Macaca fascicularis: one gene and its partner. The protein of the gene in region 2 binds, or shares a complex with, the protein of the main gene of each other region. Links are inferred from orthologs where the notes say so. Each region holds a gene or a part of one and is shown on either strand. Other genes may lie near its edges.

What was found.
Region 1: GTF2F1 (region 2) and POLR2C share a complex: the UniProt entries of both Homo sapiens proteins name them as parts of the TBP-based Pol II pre-initiation complex. The link is inferred for Macaca fascicularis from reciprocal best matches to the Homo sapiens genes GTF2F1 and POLR2C.

The regions. Positions count from the first base shown.
Region 1 is NC_088394.1:53,561,295-53,565,897, reverse strand, and holds the start of POLR2C (DNA-directed RNA polymerase II subunit RPB3), read right to left. Parts: upstream 2,979-4,603; 5' UTR 2,935-2,978; coding exon 2,849-2,934; intron 2,640-2,848; coding exon 2,590-2,639; intron 1-2,589. UniProt on the Homo sapiens protein: Core component of RNA polymerase II (Pol II), a DNA-dependent RNA polymerase which synthesizes mRNA precursors and many functional non-coding RNAs using the four ribonucleoside triphosphates as substrates.
Region 2 is NC_088393.1:7,161,120-7,163,839, forward strand, and holds part of GTF2F1 (general transcription factor IIF subunit 1), read right to left. Parts: intron 2,046-2,720; coding exon 1,861-2,045; intron 432-1,860; coding exon 278-431; intron 197-277; coding exon 135-196; intron 47-134; coding exon 1-46. UniProt on the Homo sapiens protein: TFIIF is a general transcription initiation factor that binds to RNA polymerase II and helps to recruit it to the initiation complex in collaboration with TFIIB. It promotes transcription elongation.

The DNA of each region.
Region 1 (4,603 bases), on a different chromosome or scaffold from region 2:
ACATGTTTATTTGAGCTGAGTATTTCCATGAGAAGCACTTAAATCTGCTACCTGTGCCACCACCAAATCCAAGAACATGAACTATTTGAGCACTTCAAAGTCAGGGAAAACCTCACAGAAGTAACACAGACTTATGGGCCATACCTATATTTTAGGATATAATGACTGGACTGCCCAACTTAGCACTTTTTAAACATTCAACCAACAGACTTTTACTGAATTCCTTTAACGCACAAAGCATACTAAATATAGAACCCAATCCCTAGCAGCAATGAGCAGGTAGGAGGGTAAAGACGGTATTATCTATCACACACGCTTGACTTAAACACATATTTATTCATTCATAAACATTTGCATGGAACCAACTAAATCCAGGAATCAAATGGCATTGGAGCCCAACTGCCAAATGAGGGACACAGACACTAGGAACAGAGGTCGGAAGAGGACCTCCACATGCTAGGCCTCCACCTACTCTGTCCTGCTATGCTTCCCATTGCTTCCCCAGTCCAAGCCAACTAAGAGAACCCTGACCCAAGCTTTTCTGCCTCTTTAATCCCCCGGCCCCTTCCTCCAGCACACCCTTCCCCTCCTCACTGTACAGGTTAAGATCCTCTGTGCCTCCTAAAAACTAAGCCTTGCCTGCCCTCTATGCTACAGGTGTGGCACTCCCTCTCTTTCACCTCCTCTCTCACGAAACTCTCTTCAGACTTCCCTGAAGACACTTGTCATAGTGTGCCTTGTGTCACATTTGTGTATGTTATGTCTATACCCCAAGCTTCAGAAATTCCTTCAGGCAGGTGCTGGGATGTCTTTGTATTCCTAGCTTGGGTGCTCAACATTATTTGTAGAACTGAATTTGTGGGGAAAGAGGCATTTAGACTCAGAATGGCAGGGCTGCATCATGAAGTACAACTCCCTCACCTGACTCTTGATGAAACTGAGGTCCAGAGACATGAAGTGATTAGTCAGGGGGAGGTCCAGCACTCCAAGCTGAATTGAAGAAGTGACTGGGGGGCCGGGGGTGGTAGTGGATAAACTACAACGTTCTCTTGCCTAATCATTTGGCTTGCTTATTTCCTTAAAAGTCTAAATATTTGATGCCACATATTTCTTTTGCCTAACCCAAACTCTCTGGACCTGACTCTCGGAAATGCTTGAAGTATTTCATACAAGTATAATCAATGCATTAAGCACCTGGAGCAAAGTGGCTGGAACCAGACCAGAAATTGATGTTCCCTCCTCTAAGAGCCAACTGCACCATAGCTATGCTTCTCCTGAACTACTGATCAGTCTACCTTGCTTTAGTGTTGTCTGTGGATTCATCTCTCCCCCTGCAACCTCACTGTGGACTCCATGAGGGCAAAAACCATGTTCTCTACAGCTTTGTATTCCCAGAGCTTACCACCATGCCTGCCACTTACATGCTCCATAAATGCTGTTGAAGGAATAGATTAATAAAAAAGCCATCTACCAGCACTGAGCACTCACTAAACATAAAGCACTTCTATGGATTACCTCACTTAATCCTTAACATTACCCTGATAAAGATCATTAGTGGCTGAATGTTACAGATGAGGAAACTGAAGTACGCAGAAGTTTAATAACTTGCCCAAGTTTCTCAAAAATAGTAACTGATGCAGCCATTAAAAAGAACGAAATCATGTCCTCTGCAGCAACATGGACGCGGCTGGAAGCCACTATCCTCTTTTTTATTTTCTTTTGTTTGAGAAGGAGTCTCAACTCTGTTGCGCACGCTAGAGCGTAAGAGGCATGATCTCAGCTCAATGCAACCTCCACCTTCCGGGTTCAATCAATTCTGCCTCAGCCTCCCCAGTAGCTGGGATTACAGGTGTGCACCACCACACCCGGCTAATTTTTGTATTTTTAGTAGAGACGAGGTTTTCCCATGTTGGCCAGGCTGGTCTCGAACTCCTGGCCTCAGGTGTTCCTCAGCCTCGGCCTCCCAAAGTGCTGGGATTACAGGCGTGAGCCCGGCCTGGAAGCCATTATCCTAAGAGAATTAACACAGGAACAGAAAACCAAACACCGCATGGGAGTTAAAACTGGGCACGCATAGACATAAAGATGACAATATAGACACACTGGTGACTACTAGAGCAGGGAGGGAGGCAGTGGGGCTAGGAGTAAAAAACTACCTATTGGGTACTAGGCTCACTACCTGGGTGAAAGGATCATTCATATCCCAAACCTCAGCATCACGCACTATACCCAGGCAACAACCCTGCACCAATGTACCCCCCTGAATCCAAAATAAAAGTTGAAAACATTTAAAAAACTTTTGTGACAATAGTAGTGAAAACAGTATTTGAACCCAAGTCTGCACACTGTTAAACCCATGCTTCTCAGCAATGCATACGCAGGACAACAGTGGACCTAAGTGGTCCGTGGGTGCCAGGGAGGCGGCCACTGGGCCAAGGGCACAGGGTATGGTCAAGTCTCCAGCAATGCACTTTTCTCAGCACTACCACCCTCAGCCCGAACCAAGGACTGGAAGGAGCCCCAGGGAGTGTGGGTGGAGAGCGGGGCAGGAACCCGTGGGCCCGGGAACGAGGAAGGGGGGTCGCTTACCTATTATGGGCACCTCAGCGATGAAGACCCTCCGAATCGAATTGGCCACCCTGAAAGACGAAAAGCCAAGAGGCGTGAAGGCGCTGCAGCCTCGACAGGCTGGGCCCGCGCCGCAGGCTCCCAAAGCTAAAGCCCTGGCGCAGGGGGGCAGCTCTGGAAGGACATCACCCCCACTCCACCCCCGCTCCCTGCCCCCGGGGCCCCAGCTTGGGCCTCCCGGCGCCCCAGAGCCGCCAGCCTCTTCCCTCGGCAGCCTTACGCCAGGTCGGTGTTCTCGATGATGAACTTCACATTCTCGTCAGTGAGCTCAGTGATCCGCACGGTGGGCTGGTTGGCGTACGGCATCGCTCCCTGTGGCCGCCAGCCTCCGCGTCAGCTCCGCGGTGACTGCGCCTGCGCCACCGCCGACACCGGAAGTCAGTCAGCGTGGCCTCCGCGAAGACGGCTCACAGCGCCGCCTGGTGCTCGGAGGCCGGAACCGCCGAGCGTCTTCTACCGCCTCCTGCTTTAAAATGTACCGGATTCAGCTATCTCGGAGGGTAGTTTGGCAAAACACGCGTACGTCCTTGACTTAACAGTAACATTTCTAAGAACTCATACTGCAGAAACACTTGCAGTTGTAAACAAAGATACGAGTGCAGGGACATTCATGGTAGTACTGTTTGTACTGTCCACTGATAAGAGACCTGGTGAAGTATACACACGTAGAATATCATGAAGCCCTTAAAAAGAACTTGTACATCTACAGAAAAACAAAAGTATATTTTAATATGAATGCATATTTTAGGAAAGTATACCTGAATTATAAGTAAATACCCTTTCCCTTGCAGTCTCAAGTATGGACCATGCACTTCTGAAAACTTCAGGAAAAGATATAATGTTCTTTAACCTAATGCTTCCTCTGCAGTCTGTGTAGCTGCGGTGGGTGAGTGGGAGCTCTTTGTCTCTGCATCTCCAGTGCCTCGCAGTGGGCACCATGTGGGGTGCATGCTCAACCAAGAACTACTGAAGTCCCCTAAACAGACTGGAGAGAGTCTCAAACTCTCAATGGGCCTCAAACAAAGTGGCGGCTGCTCCAACAGACAAAAGCTCTAAAATAGAACTTGACAGGAGCTACATTTAAGAGGTGGGAGAAGAGTAACCAGATAAAGAGTTTGCCTTTGCAAAGACTGACACCTCTTCCTGAGACAGAGGGTGGGCACTGATGGAACCCTGCTCCATAGCCTGTGTCGTCTCTGTAAATTAAGAATTATGGTTGTCTGCTGAGTGTGAGATGGATGCTATGAAGGAAAAAGGAGAATGCAATGAAAACTGGAACAGCTACTGCAAAAACTTCACAGGATGTCAAAAGATACAAGGAATGAAGAGAGGTACAAAAAAGATCCAGTGGAAGACCCACAAGAGATCTGAAATTCAATTAGTTGCTGACTTCCCCCAATAATATTTAGCTGACTTAGGCAGAAGAGAGCAAAGCAGAAAACAGAGCTAACCAGACATGCAAAGGGAACCCAGCCAGTGTACAGGCTGAGAAAATTACTGGGGCTAAAGAATGTACCACTGAAATCGTCAGACAAGGGCAGCCAAGAGAGCTAATGGTCTGTGGGAAGGCTTCTGTTACCCCTATTTTACTGATGGGAAGACTTGAGCCCAGAAACGCAGAGGTACCATAACTACTACTGTGTACTAGGCAGTGGCAGCGCCAGAACACAGGTCTCCTGGCTGCCAGCCTCAAGCCTCTTCCATAACACCTCTGTCTCCCTCTGGGGTCTTGGATACCTATCATGGTTGATAAGCAAACTAACTACACAACAGGAAACTACTTCAAACATATTTATTATTTTTAGACTCAAAATACACTAATAATCCTGCGATGCATGCTGGTGTCATATGACACCAGGCCTGGGATCACACCTCTGTCCAGCAGGCACTTGTCTCGGGTGAGGCAGTTTTCTGAGGGGTTTCCCAGGAGTAGCATCTCAGGACACCTGAGAGGGAGGGGGGTGCAAGGAACACC
Region 2 (2,720 bases):
TTCTCCTCCTCACTCTCCTCGCTACTGTCACTCTGCTCATCAACACCTGGGGGGACAGGGTATGAGCAAGAGCAGAGACGCACTGCCCGCATCTCCCCCCGCATCTCCCCGGGGCCCGCCCAGCCGCCGCCTACCCTTGGGCCCCTCCTCCTGCTGGGGCGGCTTGGCCTTGCTCTCAGGCTCGTCCTGGGAGCTGCTGTGAGACAGGGGCGGCAGAGGGTGAGTGCGCGCCCGCAAGGCCGCACGGGGTCTCGCAGCCGCCTCGCGTCGGCCTCACCTGGAGCCATCCGACATGTAGTCCACCTCCTGGCCCTCGAAGTCCCCATCGTCGCTGTCCTCGAAGGCCTCGTCGTCAGAGCCCTTCTTCTTCTTCTTCTTCCTGCCACCCTTGGCCAGCGGCACCTTCTTCTTGGCCTTGGGGGCTCTGCCGCCTGGGAAGGGAGGAAAGGAAGGAAAAGGAGGGGGAGGCAGTGGGTATTTTGTGCAGTTTTGACATCCTGGGGGCCTCACTGACTGGGGAGACTGCCCCACCAAGGCCAGCCCAGGAGCTCAGCTCTCCTAAACAAACTCCTGGTCCAGACCCCACACCCCAACCCACGTTCTCTAACGCTCACAGACCACTCCCCACTCCCAGACCACCCCAGGCGAGGCACCTGATAACCAGGGACAGCCCCTACAGCCCAGAGCGCACAGGAATTATTGAAACTGGCCAACCCAGAGTTGCAGTTTCTCATAGGAACCCCCGTAAAGACCTCAGCCAGGCCAGGCGCGGTGGCTCATGCCTGTCATCCCAGCACTTTGGCAGGCTGAGGCGGGAGGATGGCTTGAGCCCAGGAGTTTTCAGACCATCCTAGGCAACATAGTGAGTGAGACCCCAGTATCTACAAAAAATACAAAAATTAGGCCAGGTGCTGTGGCTCACACCTGTAATCGCAGCACTTTGGGAGGCCAAGACAGGCAGATTACCTGAGCTCGGGAGTTTAAGACCAGCCTGGCCAACATGGTGAAACCCCGTCTCTGCTAAAAACACAAAAATTAGCCAGGCGTGGTGGCGCATGCCTGTAATCCCAGCTACTTGGGAGGCTGAGGCAGGAGAATCACTTGAACCTGGGAGGCAGAGGTTGCAGTGAGCTGAGATCGCACCACTGAGTTCCAGCCTGGGCAACAGGGCAAGACTCTGTCTCCAAAAGAAAAAAACAAAAATTAGCCGGGCATGGTGGTGCATGCCTGTAGTCCTGTAGCTACTCAGGAGGCTGAGGTGGGAGGATTGCTTGACCCTGGGAGGTCAAGGCTGCAGTGAGCTGTGATTGTACCACTGCACTCCAGCCCTGGTGAGAGAGAGAGATCCTGTCTCAAGAAAAAAAAAGAAAGAAGGGCCACAGCTCAGTTCTCCCGGGCTCTGGCTTTGCCTCTTGACTGATATCACTGCTCCTCCAGGCAGCCTCGCCTGACTCTCATTTTTTTTTTTCTGAGACGGAGTCCCTCTCTGTCGCCCAGCCTGGAGTGCAGTGGCGTGATCTCGGCTCACTACAACCTCCATCTCCCAGGTTCAAGCGATTCTCCTGCATCAGCCTCCCGAGTAGCTGGAACTAGAGGCATGCACCACCATGCCCAGCTGATTTTTGTGTTTTCAGTAGAGACAGGGTCTCACTGTGTTGGCCAGGCTGGTCTCGAACTCCTGATCTCAGGTGATCTGCCTGCCTCAGCCTCTCAAAGTGCTGGACGACAGGCGTGAGCCACCGCACCTGGCCCCAGGTGCCTCGAATTCTAGGGCCACTGTGAGCGACGGTAGACTGTGCCTTCACTGGCACCGCCTGAGCAGGTACCTCTGTAGCCTAATGCCCGGGCCCCCGTGCTCACCCTCCTCACCGCTGGCGTCACTGGCATCAGACGACATCTCCAGGTCATCCTCCAGGTCGTGGATGCGTAGCTCGCTTGCCTTCCTGCGGCCGCGTTTCTCCTTCTCCTCCTCGTCCTCATCCTGGTCCTGATCCTTGAGCCGCCGCTGCTGCATGATGCTGAAGTGGTTCAGCACCTTGTTCCTCCTGGGGGCCAGGCACAGGGTGGCTCATGCTGGGCCTGGCACCACCCTGCCCCTGCGCTTGCAGGGGGCGAGCCCTCGGGCACCACCCACACAGCCTTCAATGTGATGTGGACCCCGGGGACTTGGGCTGTGGCCCAGGACTCCCTGAAACCACACGGATAGAACCGGCCCTTCCTACCTTCCCTTTCCGCCCCGAGTCCCTCAAAGACAGGGTCCCCACGTGCTGCTGGAGTCTCAGCACCTCCCTTGGACTCAGAGTCTGGCCCCAATGCAGTCACACTGGTTTCTTGCTATTTTTTTTTTTTTTTTTTTTTTTGAGACAGACTCTCGCTCTGTCGCCCAGGCTGGAGTGCAATGGTGCAATCTTGGCTCACTGCAACCTCCGCCTCCCAGGTTCACACCATTCTCCTGCCTCAGCCTCCTGAGTAGCCGGGACTACAGGCACACACCACCACGCCCAGCTAATTTTTGTAGTTTTCATAAGGACGAGGTTTCACCATGTTGTTCAGGCTGGTCTCAAACTCCTGACCTCAGGTGATCCACCTGCCTCGGCCTCCCAAAGTGCTGGGATTATAGGCATGAGCCACTGCACCTGGCCAGATCTCTTGTTATCTTAATTTATAGATGTCTTTTTCTTTAATGACAAAACCTACTGTTTCCACTGGAACAATGTAAC